Oreochromis niloticus: one gene and its partners. The protein of the gene in region 3 interacts with the protein of the main gene of each other region in a biochemical or structural test. Links are inferred from orthologs where the notes say so. Each region holds a gene or a part of one and is shown on either strand. Other genes may lie near its edges. The genes, in order: ube2z, ube2s, uba1 and ube2j2.

Region 1 (8,050 bases), on a different chromosome or scaffold from region 3:
TGTCCTCTCACCACTACTGTTCTCCCTCTACACTAATGACTGCACCTCCAAGAACTCAGCTGTAAAACTCCTAAAGTTTGCAGATGACACCACCGTCATTGGCCTCATTCAGGATGGTGATGAGTCTGCATACCGGCAGGAAGTTGAGCGGCTGGTACTCTGGTGCAGTCAGCACAATCTGGAGCTGAACACTCTTAAAACTGTAGAGATGACAGTGGACTTCAGGAGACATCCCTCAACTCTGCCCCCCCTCATCATATCAGACAGCCCTGTGTCGACTGTGGAGATCTTCAAGTTCCTGGGTACCACCATCTCCCAGGACCTGAAGTGGGAGACCAACATCAACTCCATCCTCAAAAAGACCCAGCAGAGGATGTACTTCCTGAGACAACTGGGGAAGTACAGTCTTCCACAGGAGCTGCTGATCCAGTTCTACACTGCAGTCATTGAGTCTGTCCTGTGCTCCTCCATCACAGTCTGGTATGGTGCAGCCACTAAACAGGACAGGTGCAGACTGCAGCGGACTGTACGGGCAGCAGAAAGGATCATCGGCGCCCCCCTGCCCTCCATCCAGGATCTGTACCTCTCAAGAACCAGGAAACGGGCAGGGAAAATCATCACAGACCCCTCACACCCTGGACACAGACTTTTTGATCTGCTGCCCTCTGGCAGACGGTACAGAAGCCTGCAGACCAGGACCACCCAACACAGGAACAGTTTCTTTCCCCTCGCCATCTCCCTTCTAAACAGTTGACCTGTCACACTGCTCCCACTGCCAGACTGTAACTGTACCTTATGTACATTCTGTAGTATTCATTCCACCTCATTTCATTTCTGTATTTTATGTATATACGTTTAGATTAGTTATAGTTGGTTTACACAGCTTTGTGTATGTATGTGTATGCATGTGTAATGTATATATAGATACGTGTGTGTGTGTGGGTGCGTGTGTGTCTGTGTCTGTGTGTGATTTACATTGCTGTGCTCGAGAGCCACCATCTACCGGAACCAAATTCCTTGTATTTGTCTGCACATATACTTGGCCAATAAACACGATTCTGATTCTGATTCTGAAATTTTAATTGGGCACAAATACTATAATTTGGCACAAATACCATGATTTGGCAGAAAAATACTATGATTTGACACGAATATGATGATATGGCAGAAATAATACGATTGGGTACAAGTACTATGAATAGCCACAAGTACTATGATTTAGTACAAATACTATGATTTGGCAGAAATACTATGATTTAGCAGAAATACTATGTTTTAACATAACTAATATCTTTTGACAGAAATTTCTGCTAAAAGGTACTATTTCTGCTTTTTAGTAGAAATACTGTAATTTGGCATAAATACTATGATTCGAGATAAATACTATGATTTGGCAGATATACTGTAATCAGCACATATATTATAACATGACAGACATTCCTCCACTTAGTAGTAATACTATAACATGAAATAAATATTATGGTTTTGCCCCAAAACCATGATTTGGCACAAACAACATGATTTTTCAAAAATACTATGATTTAGCAGAAATACTATGATTGAGCAGAAGTACTAAAATGTAGTAGAAGTACTTTGATATAGCACAAATACTATTATGGAGGAGTAATACTTTAACATGGGAGAGATATTGATACACACACACACATACACAGAGAGCAAAGTGTACAGGGGCTGTTAAGAGTCTGGGCTTGGTATATCTAGGTCAGCTAAATTGGCTGCACCTGCTGTAATCAGCACTTACACACACAGACACACAGAGAGCTATGGGTTTCCTTCAGTGTATTTCTCACATTCAGGATTCCCCTCGAACAAATGGCCATAATTTCCTAACCGTAGGAGCTAGAACGGTCATTCTGACACCGTTTTGTTCAGAAGAGATGGGGAAATCTGCAGGTCTTCATAATTCAGAGATAAAATATAAATTCTTGAAGATATATGACTTGTAATACACTGTAACTGAGTAGAGGCAAAGCAAAACTGCCTTGACCTGCCCTCAAACAACGTTTTGTAACTCTAAATCTATATGGAGCATCAAAATCATTCTTTCACCGTAAGAAACAGCAGGCTTTGGTGAACAGTCATGGGAATTTTCAGGTCTCTGTGGAAATCCATCAAAACGATATGACGAGAGAAAAAAGTGCCTCATTTCCAGAGTTTGAAATCTGTAGAGATCTGAGCAAGGCATGAATTTCCTACTCTCAAACAAGTGTAATTCTTGGCCAAACGGTAATAGGTGATAAAAAACTTTTTGAATTGTGAGCATCAGGACTGTCTGAAGATATATTTGCACAAGCCTCATGTCTCAACTTTGTTTCGTTAAGGAGATATGACGATTTAAAAATGCCTCTCATTAGACAAATACAGCGGTGATTTTGAACAAACTCTCCATTGACTTTCTAAAGACAATTTTCAGACTTTGTGTTACTCTGAGGAGATTTGCAAAAAATCTATAACTCCCACAACAATGATAGTGACCTTTTTCTGAAAGCCAGCAAAAATACCTACGTTTTGATGTATAATATGTGGAGCTTGAGTGGAAATTGGGCGAGTAGCAAGAAGTTGTTGGAACATGAAGAGAAAATTCAGAATGGATGAGTGTCCACTCTGAGTTAATTGCATAGCAACCATAACAACGCATGTATTTTCTGAAAAATCAAAATTTTGCAACTGAAAACTTAAAGAGGGATAAGATTAAAACAGTAGAAGATCTGAAAAAGCTGAATCAGACAGGAATAGCCCAATAATCTGAGAACATTTTAAAGTTTGAATGGAGTTTCTAGGTGAAAGTATGAGGAAGTAGTTAAGTTTCAAAAACAAGCAAGTTTTAGCAGAATTGCGGAAGTTTTCCATTCATTTCAATGGGACAAATTAAAGGAAAAAAGTGTAATATTTTAAAAAGTATGATAGTAATAAACACCAAAAGTCATTGCCGGAAAGAGCAGAAAGGGCAGAACAGTATAGTTTGAACTGAGAAAATCGGCTGAAAACTGAGGGAGTAGTTGAAGTCCAAAAAGTGTACGGAAGCAACTAGAAGAATAATAATAAAGAATAAAGAGAAACAGGAACTCAATAGTGTGGAAGCCCTTTGAGGGCATCCACACAATAAAGAATAAAGAGAAACAGGAACTCAATAGTGTGGAAGCCCTTTGAGGGCATCCACACAATAAAGAGAAACAGGAACTCAATAGCGTGGAAGCCCTTTAGGGCATCCACACAAATAGTGTGGAAGCCCTTTAGGGCATCCACACAATAAAGTTTAAAGAGCCTCCAGCATCCACACAATAAAGAGAAACAGGAACTCAATAGTGTGGATGCCCTCAAAGGCATCCACACAAATATGTTACTACAAAAGATCTTAACATATTATTAAAATGGGAAAAATTAACAGCCAAAAACAAATAAAATGCGACTGAAAGTTGTGGCACTATGTGCCGTGCATTGTGAATGATGCACACTGTTTGAAAACTCAAGACAACCACTTCAATAAAAGTTAACATCTAAAATATTAAAACAATAAATAAACAATAAAAAGCTATCTTCGATAACTTATCTGACGGTGGAACGTGGGGGCAGGAGCCTAAGCAGGGAACGCCAGACCTTCTCACCAGATTCTTCTTCTTCCAGCTTATCCGGGGAAATATTAAGACATTCCCAGGCCATATAATTGATATATTCTTTCCAGGTCCCGGGTCTACTCCGGGACCTCCTACCGTAAGGATAGGCCCGGTTGAAACACCTTACCCAGGAGGCACACACCTCAGCTGGCTCCTTTTGATGTAAAGGAGCAGCGGCTCTACTCCTAACCCCTGCCAAATACTGATCTCCTCACCGTATTGCTAAGGGAAACCCTATCCACCTTTTGGAGAAAGCTCATTTTCTGATCTAATTTTATTGCCTAAGCTCTTTACTGTGTTTTTTACTTACTCATTAAGTGTTTACTCTGATTATAGGTCAAGGGAGCTGAGGGCTGTTTTCCAAACTGACTTTCATAGAACGGGACTTAGCTTTTGCAACTACAATACTTCACAGGTGCTGACCATTAGAAAAAATGCAAGTCTTGATTTTATTACAGGGCTGAGTCCATGCATTGGATAGGCAACCAACTTTGACAGGAAGCATTCAGCTCAACTCATTTTCCAATTCCAAATTTTAAAAAAACGTAAAAAAGTATATTTAAAAAGTACAAAAATATCTTAAAAATTATCCAAGACATATTATCTCTGTTTTAGATTACAGAGGCAAAGGAGGAGACAAACTGAGATATTTTCTGCAGATGCAGAAGTGGATCACAAACTCGGACAGTTGATTGTGAGGGCACAATAACTTCCCATTCTTTTGCAAATTTTGAGCATGGCCTTGCTCAAAAGCTAGCTGCAAAAGCTGAAATGATGGTGGGTTGGTTTTTTTTTTGGTTTTTGTTTTTGTTTTGTTTTTTAATTTTCAGGAATTTTACTTTGAAAATTTTTGCCCGGATGTGCCGTGGCTTTATTATTTCCGTGTTCTTAACTGGTGACAAATACAAGCTCCTAAAGTTGCGATGGTAAAAGACTGGTAGGGATGTGGTTGGTAATAAACCAAATGTTCTGAGGATTTAATGGTTTAAACCAGTATCCAGAGGGCAGTGGTAACCGTAACACTGTGACGTTGCAATTTTGCTGAAGACCGAGCAGTTTTTTTTGGAGGCCTGGGGGTAAAGACAGTCAAGCTAACGATAAATATTCATTATGTCTTGGGAAGAATTGCCTCGCTTTCTGGCCTCGCCTCTGCCCGGTTTCTTTGCTGTCTGATCCGCGTTGGGCACCAAAGGAAGCAGGTTATCTTTAAACTCTATTGTCAATGCTGCGCAGGAGAAAAATATAAATTACTCAACACCAACGGGTTTACTGTAGCTTGCTAGCTTGTGGGCCATGGCGGACAGCTTTGGAGATGAGTCCAGCAGCAGTGCCCTAGGCTTAGACGTTACTACGGGACAGGGGAGCGGAGCCTCACAGCTTCCGATTTTGTCTAACTCTCTGCCGGTGGGAATGTCGGCAACTGGCGGTGTGCACTCCAGCTCCAACCCGGCCTCTCCGCCTCTTGCCGCCACCGCGCAGAGTGGCCTAACAGCTGTGGTGGCCCCTATGTCCGCTGTCACTGCTACCCCGGTCAGTTTTGGGAACACATTGACTCCCGGCTCTTCACCACCCGTCGTGGCCGTGTCTCCCACATTGCATGCCTCCTCGCCTCTCCCCGGTGTTGGGCTAGGGGCGGCAGGAGCGGGCCTCCTCTCTCAAATCAATGCCACTTCCTGGGACCCAACTCTCAGCACGGACTGGGACAACGAAAAAGCTTCCCAGCAGTGCATCCTGAGGATAAAGAGGTAATTCTAGGAAACATATCACACACAAATCTGACGCAGGTGGGAATATTTATGTAATCTAGACCTGCAATCGAAAGTGAAATCTTTCCGTAAAGTTTTTAACAGCATCTAAAACGTCACATTTGACGGGGACATTTGGGAAACTAGAGGTCTGTAATAAGAAGCGAGATTTCGTCGGAACCAGGTAACCACAGGGTTACTTTTCTGTTCACTATCTGTTTTCGGGTTAACTTCGTACCAGGATTTGTCGCCATGGTAACTTAACCTCCCCCAGAGCAGGTCAAGTTCGAGATCAGAGACCAACAGGTGTGAAATCGTTGCCTTCTGACGAATCGGTTATCCAGAAAATTCACCATTCCTAGAAGGTCCCACAGAGGGTCTGAAGTTGTTGTTGTTTTGTTTTAATAGCGTGTAACGTCTTTGGCTTTCACATCAGTAATAAATATAGATTCTTAGATACAGCTTTATTCCATGGTTTTATTTTATTTGTATTTTTTAATGTTAGAAGCAGACAGTTTTACAGCAATTTTATTGTTCTAGAAGGATTAATGATCTTAAAACAGGACACTTACACTGTACTGCTTCAAACCCTTCAACACCACTGAGTCTGTAGCTGAAAGAATAAAAACTAAAACTTTCTGGAAGCATCACGTTTTCACTGAGTCTTTTATTTGTGACATGTTTTGAGTGAGATATGTTTAACTAAGCCTGGATTAGTGGGACCAGTTCAAAGTTTCAGAGCTCTAACGTGTAGCCATCACCTTAGAAATAAACACCAGCACTGAGAGTGCACTCAGTGATAAATAAACATTTAAATTCCAGTTAATTATTTATAGGGCTTTGTGTGCTAAATAACCAGATTAATAATTTTCTGCAGCATTAACTGCATGTCTTCTTTGCAGTTGTTGCATTTTGCTGTTATAAGTTTTATGCTTTTTATAGATTTTTAATCACAATTTTATCATCATCTAATAATATTGCTGATTGAATTGTTGGCATTTATAGGGATCGTTTTCTGTGGAAAAAGAGTAACATTGCCTTTGAAATTCCTGTTTTAGATTGGTAAAATGTTGCCAACACCACCTGGTTTACACAAACATGCAGGCTTAACTCTGCAAATTGATAACCTGATTTTTGAGACGGCTTATTGAGATTACCAGTCTTACGGTAAACAAATCCAGAAAACTGAGAGATACCCTTTGAGCAGTATTTTAGACAGTAGCGCACTCAGCCTATGTTTAAAGATGTTGCTTTAGTTTGACCTACACATACATGAACACACTTCTTTGATTTTTAACATTTCATTAATTTGTTGCTTAATAAACAAAAATAAAGTTATTAAGGAATCGCTTGACCCAAATTAATGAAATGTACAATTTCACTTAATTTACCTGTTTATGCAGCTTGATAGCTTGAACATTCTTGTTGCCTTCGAGTCTTTTCCTGGAAGTTCTAGCATCATTGCAACTCTGGTAAATAATTCCCGTCTAATGTATTAAAGCAAACAGATTGTTAACATGTTGGTATCAGTTTGAATGAGTCTTTGTCACAAGTCGAGAGGACTCGACTCAGCTGGTTGTATTTTGGTTTCATTCCTAAAGAACAGCAGGGTTGCTGAACACAGATGCAGTTTATCACTGTTAATTGCTGTATTATCAGAAACACACTGCATATAATTGCCAACTTGACTATGGTAGGTTTTTTTTAATGACTGCGTTAGTATGCTAGAAAACTTCACATTAGAGCAACTTTAGGGCCCAGTACTGTACTTAAATGTACTTTTTATAATAGATTTCTGAAAATATTAAGATCATTCACCTCCAGGGCATACTGTTTTACTAGTGGATTGCTGGAATGTTTAGGGGCATATTTCTTTGTGGGTTCTCTCTCCATTTTTCAGTGTTTCACAAACCTCATCTGTTTATTTTGTCTGTAGGGATATTATGTCCATCTACAAGGAACCTCCACCAGGGATGTTCGTGGTCCCTGATCCTCAGGACATGACCAAGGTAAAAGGCAAAGTACAGAGATTTACCATCCTTTGACATCATTAACATGTTAACTTGATAGCCAATCAGATTTCAGTAGGCTTCTTATTCCTGGGCTTGATGCAAATCAGGATCAGCACTGGACTTCCTCTGGAGTACTGAAAGCGCATTGAGGTGACTGTTGTTGTGAATTGGCGCTATATAAATAAAACTGAATTGAAAAAAGTGGTATAGCTGTAAAAAGTGCAAAACAGAGAAGTGAAGAGTCCTTTAAACTGTGACTACCTCAGTGTTTTCCATTCAACTAGAGTTGTACCGGTGCTGACAGCAACCATTAACTAATGGAGAAAAACCTTTAGATCCGAGTCAAAAAAATTGATAATGACTCAGCGCGAGTCAGTTGTTTTCTAGATTAAATTTCTTTGCTAATTGGTCTGTTCTTCCCTAGCATTCCTCTCTGCCTATAGACATCATTTTAGACCTTCTTATCAATCCCCATCCTGTCTTTCTCTCATCCTTTAATCCCACTCCTCTGCCTCATGACTTCAGATCCATGCCCTGATCACAGGGCCATTTGACACGCCATATGAGGGTGGCTTCTTCCTCTTCCTGTTCCGCTGTCCCCCTGACTACCCAATTCATCCACCACGGGTCAAGCTCATCACCACTGGGCACAACACTG
Region 2 (7,625 bases), on a different chromosome or scaffold from region 3:
ATTCTGAAATAGTGGACAATGATGTTTGCAGACGACATTGTGATTTGTAGTAAGAACCAGGAGTAGGTTGAAGAGCTGAAGAAAGTCAGTAGAAGTATGACTAAACTAGACTAGAGAGGTGAAAAGGTAAAGTTTCAAGGAGCAGAGGTTGCAACGTTGGATGAGTTTAAATACCTGGGGTCACATCCAAGACAACAAACAGTGCATAAGAGAGGTTAAGAACAGACAGTGGTGGAGATGAGTGTGGGGGGTGATTTGTGACAGAAGGATAGCAGCAAGAGTAAAAAAAAAAAGGCTTACAAGATAGTTGTGACACCTGCTGTCATGTCTGGTTTGGAGACGGTGCTACTGACAAAGAGACAGGAGGCTGAGCTGGAGAGGGAAGGCTCAAATGGTTCGGGGATGTGCTGTGGAAGGATGGTGGATGTATTGGACAAAGGATATTGAATGTGCAGCTGCCAGGCAGGAGGAAAAAAGGAAGTCCACCACGAAGATTCATGGATGTAGGGAAGGAGGACATGCAAAGGGTTGGTGTGTCACAGGAGGATGTTAGGGGCAGGGTGAAATGGAGGCAGATGATCTGATGTGGCGACCCCTAAAGGAAGGAGTCGAAAAATGTATGTATTCTGAAATTATTAGCAAATTATTATTAGCTCTTAATAAAAATTTTCCCTATTATAAAAGAAAGTTAGAACTTAAAACAATTTAAAATGGAAGCAAGCAAATCCATAAAGTGAAAACTGTAAATTTTCAAATTTACATTTTTGCAGAAAAAATGTTAAATCTGTCTATTTTTTATTGAGATAAATGTATTTATTTGCAGTTGTGCAGGAAAAATTTTAATGGTTGGATGGAAGTCCAGTTTAGGAAAATCAATTTTGTTTAATGTGTCTAATAGAATAACAAAATCATTTTTAGTTTTAAACAGATTTTTGAAATATTTTTACAGACTTTATGGCAAGTAATCTAATAGATTTGTTAATTACTGTAACTGTTAGGGTGACAAAATCCTAAGCTTAGTCTTACTGTAGAGGCTAAGCCTACGCTTGAAGCCACTGAGGTACTCAATGACAGGGATGTCACTGGTATGCATGAATATATTTAACTTGATACAGTCCAATAACTCCAGCCTTACTCATCTTGTCCTTTAGATTCTTTATTTCCACAACAAAAAACTCAAAAAGTGACCTTTAGCGGCATACATAAGGTATCAACCCAAATGACTCCTACACTTATTTACATAAACTCCTACTACTGTAAAGGTGACTTGTTATGCTTAAATATTTAAATCTATCTATCTATCTATCTATCTATCTATCTATCTATCTATCTATCTATCTATCTATCTATCTATCTATCTATCTATCTATCTATCTATCTATCTATCTATCTATAAGATAAGATAAGATAACCTTTATTAGTCCCACACGTGGGAAATTTGTTTTGTCACAGCAGGAAGTGGACAGTGCAAAAGTTATGAAGCAAAAATTAGAATAAAATAAAATAAGAATAAATACAGTACACAACTGTACAGAATAGAATAAAATAAAATACTATATACAGTAGAATAAAATAGAATAAAATATACAATAAGATAAAAATAGAATACAAATGCTATATACAACTATCTATCTATCTATCTCATAAAATATGGCAGTGTTTTGGAGTCACTGAATCACCTCTTTAAACTTGATTATAGACAGTGGGACAATTTTGGCAAAAAGGTCAAGATTTGGTCATGATGACCTGTCTGATCGAGCATCAGTATGCGGAAGAAGGGTGATTTAAGTGACTTTGAACATGGCATTGAACATGCATTGGTGGTGTCAGACAGACTGGTCTGAGTATTTCAGAAACTGCTGATCTACTGGGATTTTCCCACACAACCATCTGTAGGGTTACAGAAGATCCAAAAACAGAGAAAATATCTAGTGATCAACAGTTCTCAAATGCTCAAATGTCAGGGGTCAGAGGACAACAGCCAGACTTTTTCGAGCAGATAGGAAAGCAATAGCAACTCAAATAAACCACTTATTCTAACAAAAGCATGCAGAAGAGCATTTCTGAAAGCACAACATTCTTAAAGCTACAGGGCTACCGTTACAGAAGATCATACTGGGTGCCACTCCTGCCAGGTAAGAACAGGAAACTGAGGCTACAATTAATGCAGGCTCACAAAGATTGGACAATCAAATACGGGAAAATGTTGCCCAGAGTCTTTCTGCTATAAACATTAAACACGAAAGTACAAATCCATCCTGCCTTGTCTCAATGGTCAGGGTTACTGCTGGTGTTGTAATAATGTGAGGACATTTTCCTGGCCAATTTTGGGTACCAACTGAGCCTACCTGTGATTATGTCCATCCCCTCATGACCACAGTGTGCATATTTTCTGATGGCTGCTTCCAACAGGATAACACACCATGTCACAAACCTCAAATAATCTCAAACTGGTGTCTTGAATAGGGATGGGTATCGAAAACCGGTTCTTGTTGAGAACCGGTTCCCACTGTTTCAATTCCTTGGAATTGTTTGCCATTTTTGCAAACGATTCCCTTATCGATTCCAGTCGCCCTGAATGACGTCACCACGTTGCGGAGCGTCATTTACCTGGCAGGGCGCCTAAGCGGCTCAAACGCTCAAAAGTTTGATTATACTTTACGAGAACGGATGACAACAGGGCAACTTGCAATACTTGCAAAGTAGATATTTAATTTAAGGGAGGAAACACTACGAATATGCAAAAGCGTTTGCTCACAAAACACGCGATAACCTTAAATGAATGTCATGTTTTTAATTCCGCTCCGGACTCGTGAATCTCAACCCAGCAGCAGCGGTAATGTTTGCACGTCCTCTCCCGTTAATACGGCAGGTAAATAATCAGCTAACAGTGCATATTATGTTAGCGCGATCTGCCTTATTACAAAACCTGCCATTACTGTGCGCTGCATTTAGGCGACCATGATGAGAGAGACAGAGTCTGGCTGGCTCAGATGCTGGCAGTTCTCGCTGCAGTCTACCGGTAGTGTCTCCTTTCAGGCCAGGATAGACGAATGTCACCGAGCAGCCTTTTGTGGTCAAAGGCTTGCACCCATTTGCCACAGCAGATGCCCCCGATTTTCCGTAAGTGAATGTGTTTAATTGTAGGCAGGGACATTACTGGATATTCTTGTGTAATTGCTACAGAATAATTTATGTTAAACTTTGTAAATGTAAAATAATAAAGTAAATATTCTTCTGTAGCAATAACAATTTTTTTTCCTGGGGACCCTGTGACACCCCATTGAAGAGCCGTAGGCTGTGGATCTCTTAAGATCTCACTGTTGGTTTTGTAAGGCCATGTTACTCCTAAATTTCTATCTTGTTCAAAGAGAAGATATAAAACAAAGTTCTAAGCTATTCGACCTTAGTGTTCTCCTTTTTTAAAAAGAATCGATAAGAGAATCGATAAAGAATCGAATCGTTAAACAGAATCGAAAATGGAATCGGAATCGTGAAAATCTTATCAATACCCAGCCCTAGTCTTGAACAAGAAAATTAGTTCACTGTGCTCAAATGGCCTCCACAGCCAGTTTACCTCAGTCTAATAGAGCACCTTTGGGCTGTGGTGGAAAGGCACATTCACATCATGGATGTGCAGCCATGTGCAGCAAATCTGCTTCTATTGTGTGATGCTATCATGTCAATCTGAACCAAAATTTCTGAGGAATGTTTCCAGCACCTTGTTGAATGTCATGAAGACTTAAAATAGTTCTGAAGGCAAAAATGGCTCCAGAGCAGTACTAACAAGGTGTAGGTCACCTAAAAGTGTGTCTGGTGAATAAATGTTAATTGTGTTGTTATTTTTGGTGGTGTATTGCTCAGGCACGTTTCTGTCGTACACGAATACGAAAAAAACTGTGTGTGTAATTTTAGTCAGTTATTGTTAGATTAGAGTTAACTTAATTAACCAACATTAAAGGAAACCTATCATACAACGTAACAAAAGTGATCCCGCTTATCAAGTTAAGTATTTATCTATTGAATAAATTAGGAAGGCTGGTTTAAACAGTGGGCGTTTCTTAATTTTGGTGTTCAATGTAGCTGATGCTGATCTTTCAGTATCGATTAGATTTGAGAGTTTTTTAAATGGACCTATCGCTGGCGTGTATCAGATGTACTTTTCACTCTATGTGACTGATAGGGCTTTTTGTCGTGACGCAGCTCTATCGCTGCATTTCGATTGGTTTGTCTCTTCTGACGTTTCACACCACTATGCCGCTCATTGGTACGTGCTTTAAGGTTCAACTGAGGATCGTATTTTTGTTCCTGTGTCAACGTAGAGAAGAAAAGAAGAACGGCGATCATCAGCCAGCCGGCTAAGTTTTCATCGAATATAGTTTTTCACTCCTCTAGACTCTATTAGAAACGGTTCTTTATATCTGACACCAGCCAGACACCCACCACCCAAGCAGAGCTCCTTTTTGAAGATGGTAAGATCAACCTCTTAGCTAACGGCTAATGGGAGACACTGCTAGCTCTAACCGATTTTAGCTGTCGAGTTTTTTTTATTTTTCGATTTTTATGGGCGGTTGTGTCTATTTGTTAAAAGTTAATGCGTTTATTTAATGTCTTCAGATGTATATTCGTGTAATTAATAAGTACCTTCATACACAATAGAAACTATTACCACTAAACCAAAAGCTTCTTTAACACGAACTCTAATCGAGGCATTTGCTAGGCTAGGTATGCTAACGGTAACATAAAGTTAACATTGCCCGTCGATTGCTTAACTGATATTAATTATCTACTGTTGTGCCTTTAAAGCATACTTCAAGTTGATCAAGTTATAACTCCTCTGACTTCTGTGAGGATGCTTAACGTGGTGCGGGGACCGCTGGCTCGATGATGAAACCGTAGCTCCCCCAGAGGAGCTCCAGCTCATGTTCATTACGTAAATACGTGTTAAAATTAGGAAGATAATGACTAGCAAGCGCGCATTACATAGAAAAGCGTGTGTAAAATGATAGCAGATCCGCAGAGGAAAATGTAGATGGTCTCAGGTGGTACCGATGATAGATTTTTCATCTGCCATATGGCCGATCGACACATTATTAAAATGTGTGAAACGAAATCATCAAAGCCATAGAAAAAAATTATGCTTTAGTGTGTAATTAGTCGATACCTACATAATAAACATTTTGATAATGTTAAATTTACTTCACTCACACTCGCTGTATATTAAAGAACAGGTGTCCGGTGTGCTAACAGACCAACATATTGAGGCAGTGTCATATTTATTTGTTAGTCCAAGTTTAGGAAAGTAAACACGTGGCTGTTAAATGTTTACATCTACTGAGACATTCCTACAAAGGTTTTTGCAGTAAGCCAAAAACTAGGTGTGAAATAAATATTTGAGTAGACTGAAATACAAAAGAAAGTGAAAATCAAAATGTAGAGGAAATAGCCTTAGCTTTAGCCAGTTTGCTTGTCAACATAAACTGTCTAATGCTGCAACTAAATATTTTCAAAGATTAAAAATGAAAAACTAAAATGAGCGAACCCATTCTGGAAATTAAACGAATGCTTAAAAATAAAAAGTCAAAACATGTGGAAAATATAAACTAATTTTTTTTTAAAAAGTCCCCAAGTCAGCTGAAGTAACACTGAATGGTGTAAGACAGTTGTTGCTATAGAAAAGGGAAATAAATGTACATTGTACAAACTATCACATAACAATATAGAACAAAGTTTAGACCCCTTTTCTGCTTATAGGAAGTTGGGGGGAAAAAACGTAATAAAATGTGCTTCATTTTTTTCTGGACATTCTTGATGTCAAAACTGCATAATTTGTTTAAGTCTACTTCTCAGCATTAGTAACACATCCCATTGTCCTACACAAGGATATTCTTTTCTTTTTTCTGAATCTGGTGATCCTATATTTGTTGAGTTTTTTTCAGCTGCTTTGGCTAACATGGCCTAAATGTAAAGCTTTATCTTAACAGTACCTGAGGTGAAGTTAGGGCCTTCATTTTTCCTCATTCTTAGTGAGAGTACAGCTTGATCATTCCTCTCAGCGCTGTTGCTAAACCATTGTTATGTCTCTCCAGAACTCCAATGTGGAGAATTTGCCACCTCATGTTCTTCGCTTGGTCTACAAAGAAGTTTCAGCTTTAGCAGCAGATCCACCCGAGGGCATTAAGATTTATCCCAGCGAAGAAGACATAACAGAGCTTCACACAGCAATAGAGGGACCAGGTAAGGATTATGATATGGTGTCATCACTTCACACTTAGAGCAGGACCGACACAACTCTTGGGAGTAAACTCACCACGTGTATTTGCTGTATGGTCTTTTGATAAGTTAGGGCTTTAGACTCTCAAAAGTTTCTTTAAGATCTCTAGTTTGAATCAGATTTGTCAAGTTTATCCTGACTCAAAATATATTTTATCATAAAAGTTCAGTACAGAGCATTTCGTATTTCATTAAGTAGACAAATTGTCAGAGACTGACGAGTAAAATATACTTAATGAAACCATACTAATTGTATTACTTCTTTCCTCGAATAGCTAATGTGGAAATTTATTTTCAAAATCTAAGTTATTCAGTGATAAAATATCCTAGTTTAGTCACCTTGCAGCTTGTATTTTCAAGGGTTTTTTGTGTATTCATAAATATATTATCTCTCAGGGTTTTTCCTGCATGCAAAAATTTCTAGGTTTCTATCAAAAATATTTTAGCCCCTTTTCTTTTTAGACTGTATTTTATTTACTTCAACATTACATGCATTCTTGTTTTTTAAAATGTCCAGAAATAAATTCAGATTTCTGTTAAGTAAGGTGACAGAGACTCGCCGCCTTCACTGTGTGCCAGGCAGTCGTGCTAGTGTGTTCTGGTCATTAATCAAAGGGTCACCAGTGTCCAGGAAAAAACCTGAGCTCTGCGTCATGTTTGCAGCGAACTGTGCATTTAAAGTGTGTTAGTTACTTCACCACTCAGCATCCAGAAAAACAGCTTTATACTCTAATATTTAAAGGCTGAGAGTTTCTTATTGATAGCCAACTTTGTATTATCAGCTCAAGGTAATAACATGACTGGTGATGGCTGAGCCGAGTCAGCTGTCTGCTCCATGATTTTTAGGTATTATGTGGTTAACTATTGAAGCTTAAATGGAAGCCATCAGCTTTCATGGAATCTTTTACTTACCTGTACATAATTTAGTTTTTGTGCCATTAATTTGTAGAATAATAAATCCTCAATGCCTGTTTTACATTTCTATTTCCCATTCGTGGATCCTTCAAAATTTATGATGTCGTGTAATCACTTAAATTATGGATTTTGTGGGTGTTGTTAATGTCATGTGAGACACATAAGCCACTTGAACTATCATGATATCTTGCCACTATGCACTCATTGCTTCAGACGTTATTTTTAAGTAGGCCTTGAAGAGCCAGACACTTGTCCACATTTTCTACTCCTCCACAGAGGCCCGTCGCTGCATCAGTTTCATTTATTGGGCACTGACATTTAGTATTTATATCTGATTTCAGATCAGGTAATTCATTATGTTAAAGCGGCAGTACAGTGTGTTTCATAACGTCAAATTTATGTCGTTGTTACTCGGCATACCTGGTTGAAACGATAAC
Region 3 (7,661 bases):
TTTTTATCAGAACCTATCTCTATAAAAATCAGTTTGGAAAAAATGTTATATTAAATGTTAAACCCAAGTCAGCTTTGAGATGTATTGATCATGTCAGGGGCCGTTGAAACTCTTCCCAAGCTCTGTTCCTGCCCACTGTCACTCTGCCTGTCCCAGAAGAGATCCATCCACTCTGCCCCACTTTTTGTCATTGGATTACACCCAGATGTTCAAAGTGGCCTGCTCTACTCCTTTCCTTCTCCTCATCTGCACTAGTTTATGAATCCAGATCTGCAAATGTGAGATAAGCAACAGAGAAGCAAGTTTTTTTTTCTTCACTACTTTTGTAGTATTTAAATTAGTGTAGATAAGGAGAGGGTTAAATGGAAAGGACAAAAGGGTTCTTAGCCACTGTGAACTTATGAACTGCCGTGATTTATACTGTAAGGCCCTCTGGCATTCCTCTTACGTGAATCCTGGCCCATTGTCCCATACTGTTGTTACATTTAAATCATTTTTGAAGCAATACTAAAGCTTCTCAGTTAAGAGATATTGTTTTCTGTAGCATTTTTGTGTCCTAGTGGCTTTTCACTTCCAGAGAATTCAAGGGAATTCGTTTCCCTGGTTTATTAGCAGTTATTAAGCTCACACATTCCCCCCTGACTCCTTCAGTGTTTGTAGAGCAGAAGGAATCAGATCGGTGTAACATTTATAAGAAGGGGATTTATACACATTTGCTTGATTACTTTTTCCAGTCAGCAAGCACTCAAGGAGTTTCTTGGGGAGGGTGAGACTTGAGATTGATTTAAACCAGGGCACAATATGTCATAGCCTTCTGGAAGTAAACAACCGGCACTAATCTACCTTCATGTCACACAAATCATATCTCAGCTCTTAGTACGAAGTTGCTAAAATCATGGTGTGTTGACAGGCTTTTTTGTCAAATGCTTGTCCTTGAAGCTTATTTTTTAAGCTTTTCCATAACTATGTTATCAAAGTATTTATTTTTTTTAGCGGGGGGGGAAGAGGAAATATATTTTAACGAAAATTAAATGTGCTGCAGATCTCATTCTTTTCATTCTAACCATCCTTCTCTTGTTTTTCTTCTACTTCTGTCTGTTTCGCAGAAAGCGATCCGTGTCACCACATTCATGCAACGCCTGAAGAATTCAGAAGCATTGATTGATAGCTCTGCTGAGGTTCAGGGTAGTGAGGAGGCAGGGGATGGTGAAGGGGGTGCGTCGCAGGGAACAAGTGATGAGGGAGAGAAAGGGACGAGTGATGGTGGGGTGACATCAAGTAGTGTGTCTTTAGAAGTTACTATTGAGAGTATGCCCTCTGGTATGGACCAGAGTAAAGAGACAGTTAAGGCTGGAGAAAAACAAGAGGAGGTAAAGATGCATATAGGCCCATCTGTAGGAACTTCGCCATCAGGTGTAGAGGACCTTTTCTGTCAATCAAATGCGGTCCCCAACTGTACCCAGGAACAGCCTGACAAGGTTGGTGTAAAGAAAGGAGCAGGTGACGGAACCAGGAAAATGGCTGCAAATTTGGGCCAAAATAAAGTTGTTCCAGAATTCAAACAGACGCCTGCGGTGAGCCCTGAGGCCTCAAAGCTATTAGACAGCACTTCGGGCATTAATCTTGACAAAAAACACATATCGTCCTCCCCTGATCCCAGCAGCAAATGTAAAATGGCTGCAACACTTCATGCCCCTTCACACACAGCATCCGCTGTTGCATCAGCCTCACCGCTGAAGAGACCAGTCACACAAAGCGAGCAAAAGGATGAGACTGACGGAAGTTGGTGTCAGACACAAATACCTGAAGCGGTGGCAGAGAAGTCTGTGGTGGCGCCAGTCACTCCAGCAGTGGGGCCAGGTACAGGGGTGGATGGAGGACTAGGAGTCAGGCTAAGGGGCGATGCCAGTCCAGTAGATAGGCAGGACAGGAATGCCAGAAGAACAGATAGATACAGCGCTGAGTTTAGCATACCAAGAGCAGGTGCTACACCGGGACAGGCTTGCTATGCAGTTGGAAGCTCTGCTAGCTTGGGCCGTCATGCCACACCATACAATCCAGAGGTTGGGGCTATGGGGATGGGGATGGCTGGGAGCTATGGGAGTCCATACAGTTCCCTGTATACAAGTGGAGGAGGTGTAGGGAGGTATGGAACTGGGCTACAGCACAGTGGGGGGAGCAGCACTTCAAGCGATTGGCAAATGGACAGTGTGATCGAGCAGATAGAAAAGCAAATGGCTGCTGTGCTGGAGAAGATCGAGGGAGACATGCCGTCGCTCCTAGAGCAAATCAGTGACTGTCCTGCTGAGCAACCTCGAGCTCGGAGCACACACGCCTCTCCCGCCACCTCTCGTGCACGCCCCTCACAGCGGTCCACATCTGCAACCACCGGCACCCCACCACCACTTCCTACCTCTCCCAGACCTGTGCTGCCATCTCTTCCTCGCATTAGCATTCCTCCTCCTGCCTATCCCCCACCATCTCCACCCACAGAAGCCTCACCCCAGGCGCTGGGAGAGCAGGAAGACAGAGATGTACAGGCGGCTCCTGCTCATTCAAGCCAGTCACCAAGACCTGGGATAGGCAGGGGACTATGAGGCAGGTGTGCATGATGCAATACACAAAGGCAAAAATACCTGGAACACTGTATTCATAGTTAAACTTAAGGATTTAATGACTGTCTCACCCAGAAGGACTGCCTAATTGTGCGCAAAAAGAGAAGTTATTACACTGTTGTTTGGTTTGGCTGCATATTCATACCAGATGACCCTACGCCCTTCTGACATTCCAAACACTTTCATCACTGGAGTCTAGAGGGATTGGAGTACAATATATATATTTCTGTATGACAGCTTCACAGATCAAGATCTTAAAAGTTTGTTAAGATCTAAAGAAAGTATGCTAAATCCAGATTGTGTGCCTAAATGTTTACCACACAACGACCTCATATGGAAATCCAAGCACTCAACAAATTTCCAAGTTATGAAGCTGCACAAATAAGAATGGCGAAATTCTCAACTAACAGTGAAAGAAAAGATCTAAATAAAGTATTATACCCTAAAAACTGTAAATAAACAAAATCAAACTAGGTTCCTAAGTCATATTTTTCTTCCATGGTGTGAACTTCCAAAGTGACATTTACTTGTTTTTTTTGTTCAAAGCAGATCGTCCCATGATTTATTTTTGGGGGGTTACTATGTATTTATGTGGCTATTTATTCTGTTGTGATGCTTGGTGTCACAAAGTTGTACAGAAATATGTGAAACTGATTTGATAAAGCCATTCCCCTGGTTGCAAGAAATTAAAATTTGTTTTATTAAACAGTATATTTAAACTTAAACTGTCACTTAGACTTATGAGTTGTTCCACATCTGTCAGAGAGCTGGGGAAAATATACTGTATAAAGGCTTTGCAATAACACGGTAACACTTACATTTTCTCTCCTTTTTCCCCCAAACATTTCCAGATAGTTTGTTTTCGTTTGCTCCAGTTTTGTCAGCACATTCATTTGGTACCGTTAACTGGACAATCCTGCCTATTTTATCCTTTTCATCATAAAACTGTTCTGACTTTTGTTCTGCTATTGGGTGTATGTAATACCAGATTCTGTGCTTTTCTCCTGAACAAGTCTAGATCTCCACTATTCTGTCCCTATGTAAAATGTGCACTGTTTGCAAGTCTTTCAATAAAAGTAAGCCAGTAAATACATGCATATATATTGAGTTGTTTAAAATCATTTGATCACTCTTCAAAAAAACATTTTAGAATTACAGCCGTGTTTTGTTGTTTTGTTTTTTACGTGCTTAATCAACATTTATCCAAAAGGCAGATTTCTGACAGGCGTTCTATTATATTATCCTATATGCCTACAAGTCCCATAAGGCACTGCGTGAACTTCGGTTTAGTCCATGGTTGTAAGGCTACGGGGGTAACAAAAGTAGTCTTGTTTCTAAATATACAACTAAACCACAGAGCAGTGTAATATTCAGTACGCTTTATCTTGTGGATGGGATGTGTGAACGTTAACGATTAATTAAAAGACAGAGCAGACACAAACCAATCTTATTCATTTTCAATTAACCCCAAGACCCGGAATGATGGTTGTGCCTGTAACGTGCACATGTTGCTGCTTTGCTTTGCTTTCAACTGAAATAGAGTGAGGGGAAACGGGTTGGGAACAGCCGGACAGGCAGCCGTCCAGCGGAAAAAACTCACACAGAGCCCGCCACCGTGACACACTTTTCACTTTGCAGTCAGTGGCGGTGTTGAATTGTCACCTTGGTTGTTGTTTTTCTTTGCTTAAGCAGAAGCCGATTTTTAATACTCCAGATCAGGCCGAGTAAATATCGGATGTGGTAAGTTCTGCACACTTGTGTAAGCTCTCGTCCTGGTGATGTTAGCCTCAGCTAGTTTGCTAATGTTAGCTAGTTAGCTAACATAGCGGCACAAGAAGGGGAAAAAGTCGCTGGGTGGCTAGATAGCTCGAAAGCTAGCCGCACACAAGCTAACAACTACGCAGTCTTTTGATGTGCGTTATCGGTAGTCGTTAATGTTAGTTGCAGACGGCTGAGCGAACCATTTAAGCTCCTTGCTCCGCTAACGGTAGCTAACAAGGCACTGACACGTAACTGTTAACGGCAAATTAGCATTTGCACGTTTTTATGTGCACGGGGTTGCTGCTTTAATTAATGTTAGGCGATAAATAACGTTAATGGTAGCTAGAAGGCTAGTTGCTTCAAACATTTGATGGATACTACGTTGAAAGACAGACACGAGCTAACTGGCATCACGAGCGTACATGCTGGCACTATTTTTTTTCCTCGTATATCTGATTGTATATGTAGGGTTCCCGTTTCGATGGCACGTTATCGGCGTTATCACAGTAACCTAACCTAACACTGGCTAGTCTCTCTGTTTAGCTTGTCAAGTTAGGCAGCCTATTATTCGGACATCATTGATATTCGTATGCTTCAGTTCAAAGGGAACGGTGTAATACTAGGGTCTTAAGCATTTTCTAGTTGGAAGATGAGAATAGGGGATCACCTCGACATGTGTACCCGAGTATATGCGGCCCACTCTTTTTTTTTTTTCCTGGGCCTTTGTCATTTACTAGGCACCCCCTCCCCCAATACTCTTCTGCAAGGAGTGCTCACCCCTAACCTCAATGTGACTAAAAGGCCCAGACGCTCAGCATCACTAGCTAATAAGGATCGTACACTATCCGACTTGAGTAGTGATGATAATTGCTGAATTCAGAAAATAGTCAAAACAATTGGTGTGTTAAGTGGAATGTAGCAAATTGTGCTCCAGTGAGAGTATATCCAATGGAGTTGTAAAATGTGTTCTTTATGATGGTGCATTGTTGCAAGTTTGGTGTTCAGCTTTGTTTATGGAGTTCACATGAAGATGACTGATCCTTGCTAATCTGCCTCTGAAACAAAGGTGTTGTTACTGATGAGTTACATTCAGCTCCGTTAAGGGAGAATCCTTTCATGCAATGATCTCAGACATACCCGGAGTTATTTATTTATTTTTTTTCATTAAGTGTTGTTTTTTTTCACTAGATTATTGGAGATCCTACTGTTCATTGTACAGTAAGATACTTGGCATGCATCCTCTCGTAGCGAGGGCGGGATCAACGCGCTTTAGCTTGGGCTTGAAGAGCCAATGAGCCGAGGACCTGGATGAGCAGCGTGCTTGCAACCACCCTTTCCTGTTGAATATTTCAGCCCCTGCGTCACAGCTCCTCCGCCCCTTTCTCCCCATCTGCCATTTTGGTTTTGTTCCTGTCTGCAGTCGCAAAGCCAGCAGCGCAATTACATAGGAGAGACTATCGGCACAACGACATAGTGACTCGACAATATAGTGCAGACCACCCCAATTCCGCATCGCGTTTCTTTTCTCTGTACAAATCGTCGAATATACAATCAGCGTTTTTACTGACAGCTACACACAGCAGGAGAGGAGCGGGTTCGCATTGGGAAGGGACCGAGAAGGATTATTGGTAAGGAAAGGGAAATCAATGGAGCACGAGTGTAGTGGCTTGGCTTGTATTCGTAGTGTTTATGTTAAGTGACAAAGTTAAATTGTGCTTTTTGTTAGATGCCTAGACATTAACCCATGTCCATATAGAAGCTGTGGTAGACGCCTGTCAAATCCGTTGCTCTCCAGTGCGAGAAGGTCGGTTGGAGTGTAGCCACAGCTGCTAGCTTGTAAAATTGTGTTCCGCACTGAGGGTAATGCAGGCCTAGGCCGAGCTGCTAATGGATAAGCTGACAAGCTGGTGTTTTCTTCCCTCTAAGTTATTAATGTTTAGACTCTGTCCACTTGCCAAATCACTTAACCGATTAGTGGTTCGGAACCTACTTAGTTTTCTATTGGTGCTGTTATCTGACAGTTAATTTATATTTTTCTACACATTGAGATCTTTAAATCGACTGCTACCCGTTAACGTTTTCTAGTAGGATTGGCAAACTACTGTAACAGCCGGGCGGCTTTGCTGTATCATGCCGGACGCCTTCATTTTCGGTTTTGACAAGCGAGACCGTTCGGTTAACGGTGATATGAAAGCTATTTTAGGCTGGTTGCAGTCGTATGAAAATTTGCCCAGGTGTCCTCATGATTTAAAGTCGTAGAGAGGGTTATAAACTGATACGTGTGCCTTGGGAAATGCACGGAAGTTGGCGCCGCATTGGATGCGGAAATTGTGCCCGATTTTTTTTCTTTTCTTTTTTTTGTGCGCCTAGAATGTATTTGAAAAATACTGCGGCCCTCCCGAGTGCAGAGGTTTATCGCGACTATTGCGTTGCGTCAGAAATCTAAATGCATAAGTAAATGCATTGCTATTAAATGTTGCTGTTTAGAGCTTTCTTGTAACATCGCCATCTACAACTTAGTTGCAGCACAGCATGGTCCTTGTGTCCGCACCTGCCAGCCATTGTGTGGTATTGCTCAGTTTACCGCAGTGAACTTTTAATGATTCAGCTCTTTTCCTTGAAACGATGTTGGGTGTCCATAAATACCAGGAAAATAAACAAAAGAAGTATCTAAACAAACCTGTGCTTTCTGTGAGCATGAAAGAACCGGTAATGCTATTCGTCTCTTCCCAGCCTCAGTTCGTTTTCTAGCAGATTTGTGTTTGGCCTGAAGCCAGCCCAGCTGCTCTCTAGGCTAAAAATCCTCTCTTCAAAATGAGGGGGACTGGTTAGCCTTTAGTTTAGGTACTTATTATAATGGAACCATAGCAGTGAATTATAAAATTACTACAGTTTATATTAACTGGAATCAGTTGGCTTCTGAGAACATTCAGGAAATCCAAGCTTGTTGACAGTGTGCTGTCTTTGTCTTCTTTTCTTTTTTTTCTTAATGATGTAAGGTGTCTTTCTTTTATTCTGTATTTATTGCAAACTACCAAAAATCTTATAGGGCAGTTGTTAACTGGTAACATGCATGTGCTTGAATGACAACTTAATTTATGACGGTGGTTAATGCACAGATGTCCAGCTCGCCGCTGTCCAAGAAGCGTCGCTTGTCAGGAACAGAGACGAAGACGGGATCCCACTGCTCCTCCTCTAACTCTGTCAGAACTGATCTGTCCCACACACCTGCCAACGTGAGTGCAAACACATTTACTCTATAGAGTGAGTAGAACTTGTAACATA
Region 4 (8,117 bases), on a different chromosome or scaffold from region 3:
TGAAGAGATGCAGAAACGTAAAATTGCATCATGGAATTCACTTCCATTTATGGAACATGAAACTATAAAAATCTCTCCAGTTTCCTGTCAATGGTAATATTACAGGAAAGTATTCGTGTTATGGTGAAATTATGGAGCCTCTTTTAAAAACTCGTGTCGTGACAGGACTTGCATATCTAGGTCAGTGCCAAGAATATCCTCTGTATGCTTTGCTAGATTTTTGGAAGTTTGACCTTCTTTGCATCTTGAGCATGATGAATATTTTTTCTATAATTTGATCACTTTGTGCAGTGCAGTCCTGTCAAAAAAAGCATGTACCAATATGACCTCTCTGGTGTCAGAAGTTTCTTCCTTTTTGCACCTCTGTGCCATTGTTTCATCCACACACGAATCTGTGGTGACTTTTCTTCTTTTCTTTTCATTTCTTTCATTTTTTTAAATACTGTGGTTTTATTTTCCTCTGCCAAAGACTTTTTTTTAAAGGGAAAGTGTCTGACACTGTTGTATAACATCATGTTAAAAAAGGAAAAAAAGAAGAATTGTTTTGGGTATATACAGGATACTCTTACCATCCTTTCTGAGTTGTGAGAGTGGTAGAAACACTGTTGGTGCTCACATGTTCAGAAGATGTGACTTGCCTGATAGATGCAATAGTTCAATGTACTGCAAGTAGAACCAGTCTCGGGGGGTGATGTGAAGCTACTGTGACCAAACTGTTAAGAGCTGTCGCCCTCGCGGAAGTATTAAATATTGTGTCCATTTGTGTGTAGTATTGACTTAAGAGTGGTTAAAGGCGCAAACATGCTGTAAATAGTACACTTGCATATTTTAACTTAATGCTAACTTCCTGCCTCTCAGCATTCGGTCACAGATTCTGTTTAATGTTTGTTTTTTCATCGTCTTTGAAAAACAGCCGGTCGGGTAGAACTGTGACACGGTTCTGAATTACTTGCGGGGGTTCTTCTGTTTACTGGCATTTGGATATCTTTGGAATACTCTCTTCCATGTCTTTAGAAGCACTAAGGGGAAAAAAAACAAAATACATACAATAAAACTGAGAAACTGAAATGGATCTGTTAACCCAGCTGCCTGCTTCTTATTCTCATTGCTGTTCCCTCGCTCATCTTTTCTGTGTAACATTCTCCCAGCATTCTTTTTCCAGATGATAGCTGCTCTAATTTATCGAATAATAATAAATACGGCAGTGGTTGTAATCCATAGATATAGCCAGATGCTGGGAGAGTGCTACTTTACAGAATACTCTGGTGTGTCTTTGGCAATTTACAAACTTTTGGTAGCACTTGGCTTATTCAAAGCAATAAACCGATTAGTCTCATGTTGTGAAATATCACTGAGGTGTACACGTGGATCCCTCCAGACTCTGCTATTTAAGGATAACTTAAGCATTCAGAGTCTTATGGATATTAAAACAGTGCTTCATCTTCTTGCCTGCAGCAGCAACACTGTGCCTTGAATAATTCAGTGTCTCCAGTGTGTAAAACATGTATGTGCTCTCACAAGCGTTGTCACACCATCCCTGAATAAAATGTCCTCTCTAATTCCTTCGATTTAACACTAAAGACAAATGACACATGTCCACTTGAGGAAATAACCACTGACTGACATATCATTGCTTCTATTACCACAGGACGTACCCCGAGCAGCAGGAGAGTAAAACCTAAGGATGTTCGGGATAGAGTGAGTGAAGCATCCTGGGCTGTCTTGCTGTGGCACACTAGCGTGATACTATGATTTTTTCCTGCTCTGGTGGTTGCGCTTTAACTTGAGGTTCTTGCTCTGTGGCCCTCCCCCCTCCTATTTTTATGGATAAGCTTGGAAAACATTTGCTGTGATAATGCTGCCAGTCTTTTCCCTTTCTTATAAATGAGGAACAGGAACATTGCCTTAAGGAGGATGTGCCAAGACAACTACAATACAGGATTTATATAGTTAAACTGTAATTTTGACCATATTCAATGCGAGTTGGTAAGTTAAAAAAAAATGAATGTCTGAGCCATGAGTGGACAGGATGCTCACCACTACTATTCCACACTTGCTATTGAGTATCCAGGAATCCCATTTAAGAGGAAATAAAGGTTTTTTACTTGTACATCCCATGATTCACAGGGCTAGGCTTAGGAGCTACGCAAAAATATGAGGCTGTGGGCACTTTTCTTTTTCGTGGGTATGCAAAGCAAGCATTAATCTGATCTTTCTTCCTTATATTCTTGCTTATATACGGTACTGTACAAAAGTCTTGAGTCACCACTTGTTTCTTAATTTGCTTCTAATAAACCAGACTTTTATGTTATTTTCAAAAATGTGGTCAATAGTTCAAAGTTCATCAGCTGCTTTTTTGCTGAACTTTACTACAGTTTTTGTGCCTCACAATTTCCAATCAACACTGATGATTCATTCAAGTATAAAAAGGCTTCTGACTTCAGGGATGTGCCAGGCTTGTCTTAACAGACAACTTGCCAAACAACCAATTTTAAATTTTATTTTTAGTCACTGTGTTTCTGACAAATGGTTAAAATCATTTGTTGTAGATAAAAACATTATTTTTGCACCAATGAGGTGATTCCTGAAGAGATATTAGCTGGAAACTTAACGTATGTCCACGTGGCTTTCAGCATGCGCTTAAAATGTTGAGGAAACGGGACAAGAAAGGATTTGATTAAAAAAACAAAACAGATGAACAGAATCTGAAAGTCATGTGCTTAAGAAACAGGTTAGAAATACAGCATAGGCCCAGCCCAGGCTCTGAGATATGCACCTGACCCTTCATTTGATCCCTCTACTGTTGAATGAAGCCTCATCATAAATTGTCTCAGTGCAAGAGTGGCTAGATTCTTAGGAAAGGAAAACAGGTAAAGAAGAATGACATACGCCAAATATACAAGAATTGGACTAAAAATCAGTGGCGACATTTTTGAAGGAGTGATGAATTCAAATTTTATATTTTTAGTTGGTGTCAGTGAGTGTCTACAGCATTGTCATGGTTGGACATTTCAGCCAGTGATGTTTGGGATCTTGTCAAAATTGAATGAATTATGAACGCAGAAAAATACTGTCAGATTTTGACCCACCATGTAATGATGACAGCTTCATTTTTAATGCTTACAATGATCTCAACCACACTGGCAAAGCATTGCTAGATAGAAAAACTCACAATGAAACAGTATTAGGCATAGATTAGTGTTACCAAAAGAAAAAAGAAATGAGTGGTGTCTCAAGATTTTTTCACGGTAATGTATCGCATATTCTAAAAGAAGGTTGGTAATTCTCCATGGTGCCCTGCATCGGGACAGATCCTTGACTTTAGTGTCCACTGTTTCAGGTGACATCTCCTTCACTGATGTCTTTCGCGAGTTTTCTCTCCTCGCGTCTCTCCATCCCGAAAAGTTGAGAAGAAGGAGCTTACAGTTCAGCAGCTGTAAGAAGCCAAAGTGATCACTGCTGACCCCTCACTTCATCCGACCTCTCTTCAGTCACTTTGGAATCAGGCAGGAGGCTGCTGCGTTCGATTAGAAGACATGTTGGTCCTGCAAAGTGAATGCTCTGGGAATGAAAAAAAGAAAAGTCAAATTCCAGCAGGGACAAGTTAAAACTACAGCAGACTTGTAATAGTTGTAATATTCTCTCGTAAATAAACTTGGTCAAAGCCAAACATTTCTATTGCCCTGATGTTTTAGCTGACTTACTCCAGTTTTGATAATGTTAGTCATCCAGCAGAGCTGACATTAACATTTGATGACCTTTAGAGATATAACAACAAAACAGTTCTCAACCTGTCCAACTAATAAGTCAACTCAACCTTGGACCTGTCTGAGCATGAACAATGGGACCTCTGGAGCTTGAGTTGGATAGGACATCATGTAGATGCATCATCAAAATGGAATCTGGGGAGCCTGGAGGTTGGGTCAGTGCCTTGGCTTGTTTTTTTGTGTTCCTATTTCTGCCAACAGGAAGTACAATTTCTTTATGTGCAACAGTTTTTGGACAGATGGTCATATGTGCAAGGAAGTCCTCATGACTCTCAGGACCCGAGTTTTCCCTGGAGAACAGTGCAATGCAAGAGGTGATGATTGTTATTTACTGTAATTTAAAAAAAAAAAAAAAAAAAATCCTCTCAGGAAGCAGTCGAGCTCCCCAAACCCTGGGTCTCACAGGCACACCAACAAAATAAAAAAAAAATAACACAGATAAAATAATCCGGGTTTGACTGTGTTTGCTAATGCTTATGCAAATATTTCCATAAGCTTAATGACGCTCTCTATGATGAGTAAATTAAACTTGACCTTTAAATTAAGTGAAGTAATCCTTTTATACCTATTTGTTCAGCATTTGTGATGAAATTTCTGATAAAATTATTTTAAGTGTTTTGTAGCTGATGGCAGAAGTCAAATAAAAAAAAATCTACTGAAATTATTAAATGTCTTGTGGAATGTTTTATGTTGTTTAGTCCGTGTTTTGTTTCAAATCCAAATTTAAGCACCAGCATAAAGTACCGGGAGGCCCTCTGAGCCCCTCGCATCAGACAGACCGCTGTGCAGTGTGTCAAGTGCTACTTGGCGATTGACTACAAATGTAAGTACGGATGTTATGACTAAAAGACAGCTATTGAAGGGTGACCGTGTTTGTAAGACGGTACTGGACTTCCAGGAGGATCGAGATTGGGCAGCTAGCGACAGTAAAGCACTTGCTAAGTAATGTTTCGACTGCTACAGCAGCGATGAAGAAGAAAACCGGAAGTGTAATTTTTCCTCCTGCTGGCGATAGCGTAAGCTACTTTGGTGTCATCGTCTTATCGGATTGGGGTTGGCAACAGAAACAACAACCTTATTTCGTGTCCAGCCACGAATACATATTTTCGTTGGGGTTTCTGGAGAGGTATGTGTGCACTACACATCCCGTAGTTACTAATAAAAGCGAGAGATGTCGCGGTCAGCTGTCGTTATACAATATACAATACAACTGTTCGTGCTAGTAGGTGCTAACATTAGCCGGTTAGCAGTGGCCTACGTTGGCTAACGTTAGCCGCTTGTTCTAAAATGCACTCAAACAGGAACCGACACCGGCTAGCATTAGCAAAGCCACCGTGCCAAGCTAGTCTTCCTGAACTGGCTTTACTGATTAAAATGTGGTGTGATTAAAGAGTGGTCAGACACATATGCAGTCCTTCTGTAGCCGAAGCTTGGTCCGTAATAGTTGTTTATTATTTGATTATCAGACTTTATGACAGGCACTGAATGTGCCAGAAATGCAACATTAGCCGCTAAGTAGCGGATTAGCCTCAGCCACATAAGTTGCGTTAAGAAGCCTTCCTCTTTATTAGGAAGCGATAATGACATAATTCTAGCACTGCTGCGGTCCACGTACTGCTTATTACATGTCAGCGTTTGTCCCCGTGACAGCAGGTCAGTTGACAGTGTCTGTTGTTGTCGTAATTTTCAATTACATGGGTTGACAGGGGAAGAAAGTTTAAAGTACATTTATATCCGTTGTGTAAGTATTTGGAGCACAATGCGTATTTTAACTTGAACGCAATACTTACTATACTCCACTCTCTGCTAAATGCTTACTTTTTCACTTGGCGAGGCAGTGTTGTATGCATATAGCATTAAAGCACCACAGCAGTGCTGTGCATGAGTTATAAAACAAACAGTCACAGCGCCATTAGAGAACAATGAGAGATGGGATAAATTGTTTTTAAAATTCGGTGCTTTTTGTAAGATGTACTAATTGGACAACTTCATCTTTTAGGAAAACAGAGGGGAAGTCATCACTTGATATTTAAACTTCACTCTGCAGCCAAAATTGAGCTATTTCTGCCTGTTTCTCCAGTTAGCGTTAGCATTTGCTAATAAATAAACAGAAGCCTGTACTGGTTACGTGTTGTTCAGTGTGAGATTTTACTGCCCTTCTCTGCTTTTGTTGTTGTTGTAAATTAACACACTGTTAGACTATTCAACCCGATATCACTCTAGTTGAAACACATTGAACATGTTAGGAACCTTAGCATTATTTTGAACAGTGGTCTTAGCATTAATAATCATACTAATAAGGCCAACACAACTGCATATACAACTTTCTAACAGTATAACCATATGAAAAAAAATTCTTATCTCAACTGGGAAATGGTCCATCCATTCATATCAGCCAGGTTAATGGTGTATTTGCAAGATTATCCAAATCATCAGCTGGATAACTTCAGCTTGTTCGAAATTAATTGGCTGCCACTGCAATACAGAAATGCCTTTAAAATCCTTCTGTTTGTTCCTAAAGCACTCAGTGGTTTGACCCCCAGTACATCTCTGACTCTGAGAGGTCTAGTTAGGTCTATAACCTAACTAGACCTCTCAGGTCATCAGGTGCAAGTCTGTAAACTGTTACCAGAATGAGATGAAAGTTTGCTGAGGGTACGTTTTGTTATAATGGTTCTCTTCTTTGGAACAACCTTCCCACTGACCTGATGTCAGGTCCAACTGTGTCTACATTCAAAACCAAACTTGGAGCCGCTTTATTCTTGCAGGCATATGATTAATAACTTTGTGTGTGTGTGTGACTGTTAACTTATCTAAAGCGCTATACAAATACAGGCCATTTACCATTATCTCTCTTATGTTGTTTTTATTGCCTTAAGAGATTGTAGAGCTACATAGTTTTTAAAAAATATTTTTATCCTTTGTGGCAAGCACATTTAACCTACGTGAAATGAAATGTACTATATAAATAATATTTGCAGTGATATGTTTAAGAGTTTATCAAATATTTAATAGTATTGATATTTAATAGGTCAGGTGACAGTGCTGGATGCACTGTAGGCAAAGTTTTTTGATCTGCTCTAGTTGAAGCTGCAGTTACCTTTCACAGGCATATTAGGGTTAAAGCTTTCCACTAGCCAGAATGATTCATTCAGAGTTCTTCCTTCATTCATTCAGTCATTCAAATCTATGCAGTCCAAAGTTCAGATCCATAGTAAAACAGGATATGCTTTGATTTCCTAATGTAAAGGAATACATCTGGACAGTGATGTCAGTGTAAAACCAGATTTATGCAATTCACTGTTTTTGTTTTCTCACTGTTCATGTTCTCTCAATCATCAGATGAACAACAACGGGAACAAAAGAGCTCCAACTACAGCCACGCAGAGACTTAAGCAGGATTACCTCAGGATAAAGAAAGACCCCGTGCCTTACATTTGTGCAGAGCCCCTTCCCTCCAACATCCTAGAATGGTAAGTTCTTCAGTCAGGAAATATTGGGACTTTTTGACTCTTGATGTCCGGCCAGGGAAGGGTGTTTAGGGCCATCGGCAAAGTTTAAAACCTGTGTATATTCTGTAGAAAAATAATAAACTAAACATTTAATGTGTAAAATCAGGCTACTGTTTTACACCAACAAAATTGAATCGTAGTTTCCAAGATGAACAGATTCACTTGTATTTAGCAGTGGATGCAGTTTTAATTCTGTTTTCAGAGCTTTAAAAAAAATGTACGGTGCTGTGTAAAAGTCTGGAGCCAGTCCTCATTTCTTTATATTTTGCTAAAAAAGTGACACCGGTGCAGCAATTTTTGGAACATGTGCAAACATAAATGGAAATACAGTATACAAGGCAAAAGTTTGCACAGTTCTGAGTTGAAATGCTGAAAGTCGTTATGTCTTGAATTCTTAGGCAAGCTTTTGTGTGTTTTCTTTTTCTTTAGGAATAGTTCTCTGTGCTTCTTGAAGGACATGGTGCAAAACTACTATTTTTATGACTTTTAAATTATGTTGTTGTTGTTTTTTGTGTATTTGACCTAAGAAATTGGAAGAAATCATCATTGTTGCAACAGGCTTCTACAGAAAATACTACCAGTTTGGGATTTAAAAAAAATATTTTTTGGCAGAGCCAACTAAAGAAGCGGGAACAGAATATGTGTTTTTTCCAACAGGCTGCTAATAACAAAGTCACTTTGAACCGTTGTCTCTTATGTGTGTACACAATACTGAGTCATCCCTTTTTCTACTGGAATGAATCCTAGGACAGTGTTCAGTAACTTAACAAACAAGAAAGCAAAAGTGAAAGTGAGTGAAAAAGCAACCAATGTTCAAAGATTTAAAAACACGCCTGTA

What was found.
Region 1: of the proteins of uba1 (region 3) and ube2z, one has a biochemical effect on the other in vitro, tested with the Homo sapiens proteins (3 studies listed by BioGRID). The link is inferred for Oreochromis niloticus from reciprocal best matches to the Homo sapiens genes UBA1 and UBE2Z.
Region 2: of the proteins of uba1 (region 3) and ube2s, one has a biochemical effect on the other in vitro, tested with the Homo sapiens proteins (8 studies listed by BioGRID, with this or other methods). The link is inferred for Oreochromis niloticus from reciprocal best matches to the Homo sapiens genes UBA1 and UBE2S.
Region 4: of the proteins of uba1 (region 3) and ube2j2, one has a biochemical effect on the other in vitro, tested with the Homo sapiens proteins (2 studies listed by BioGRID). The link is inferred for Oreochromis niloticus from reciprocal best matches to the Homo sapiens genes UBA1 and UBE2J2.

Annotation. Positions count from the first base shown.
Region 1 is NC_031969.2:1,108,138-1,116,187, reverse strand, and holds the start of ube2z (ubiquitin-conjugating enzyme E2 Z), read left to right. Parts: upstream 1-4,494; 5' UTR 4,495-4,928; coding exon 4,929-5,380; intron 5,381-7,316; coding exon 7,317-7,389; intron 7,390-7,917; coding exon 7,918-8,050. UniProt on the Homo sapiens protein: Catalyzes the covalent attachment of ubiquitin to other proteins. Specific substrate for UBA6, not charged with ubiquitin by UBE1. May be involved in apoptosis regulation.
Region 2 is NC_031976.2:22,315,051-22,322,675, forward strand, and holds the start of ube2s (ubiquitin-conjugating enzyme E2 S), read left to right. Parts: upstream 1-4,242; 5' UTR 4,243-4,469; coding exon 4,470-4,472; intron 4,473-6,089; coding exon 6,090-6,237; intron 6,238-7,625. UniProt on the Homo sapiens protein: Accepts ubiquitin from the E1 complex and catalyzes its covalent attachment to other proteins. Catalyzes 'Lys-11'-linked polyubiquitination.
Region 3 is NC_031984.2:18,165,967-18,173,627, reverse strand, and holds the start of uba1 (ubiquitin-like modifier-activating enzyme 1), read left to right. Parts: upstream 1-4,131; 5' UTR 4,132-4,355; intron 4,356-5,765; exon of another isoform or gene 5,766-6,004; intron 6,005-7,495; coding exon 7,496-7,612; intron 7,613-7,661. Other genes in the region: camkvl (caM kinase-like vesicle-associated, like), read left to right, coding at 1,107-2,597. UniProt on the Homo sapiens protein: Catalyzes the first step in ubiquitin conjugation to mark cellular proteins for degradation through the ubiquitin-proteasome system.
Region 4 is NC_031970.2:26,352,844-26,360,960, forward strand, and holds the start of ube2j2 (ubiquitin-conjugating enzyme E2 J2), read left to right. Parts: upstream 1-4,455; 5' UTR 4,456-4,590; intron 4,591-4,634; exon of another isoform or gene 4,635-4,893; intron 4,894-7,109; coding exon 7,110-7,240; intron 7,241-8,117. UniProt on the Homo sapiens protein: Catalyzes the covalent attachment of ubiquitin to other proteins. Seems to function in the selective degradation of misfolded membrane proteins from the endoplasmic reticulum (ERAD).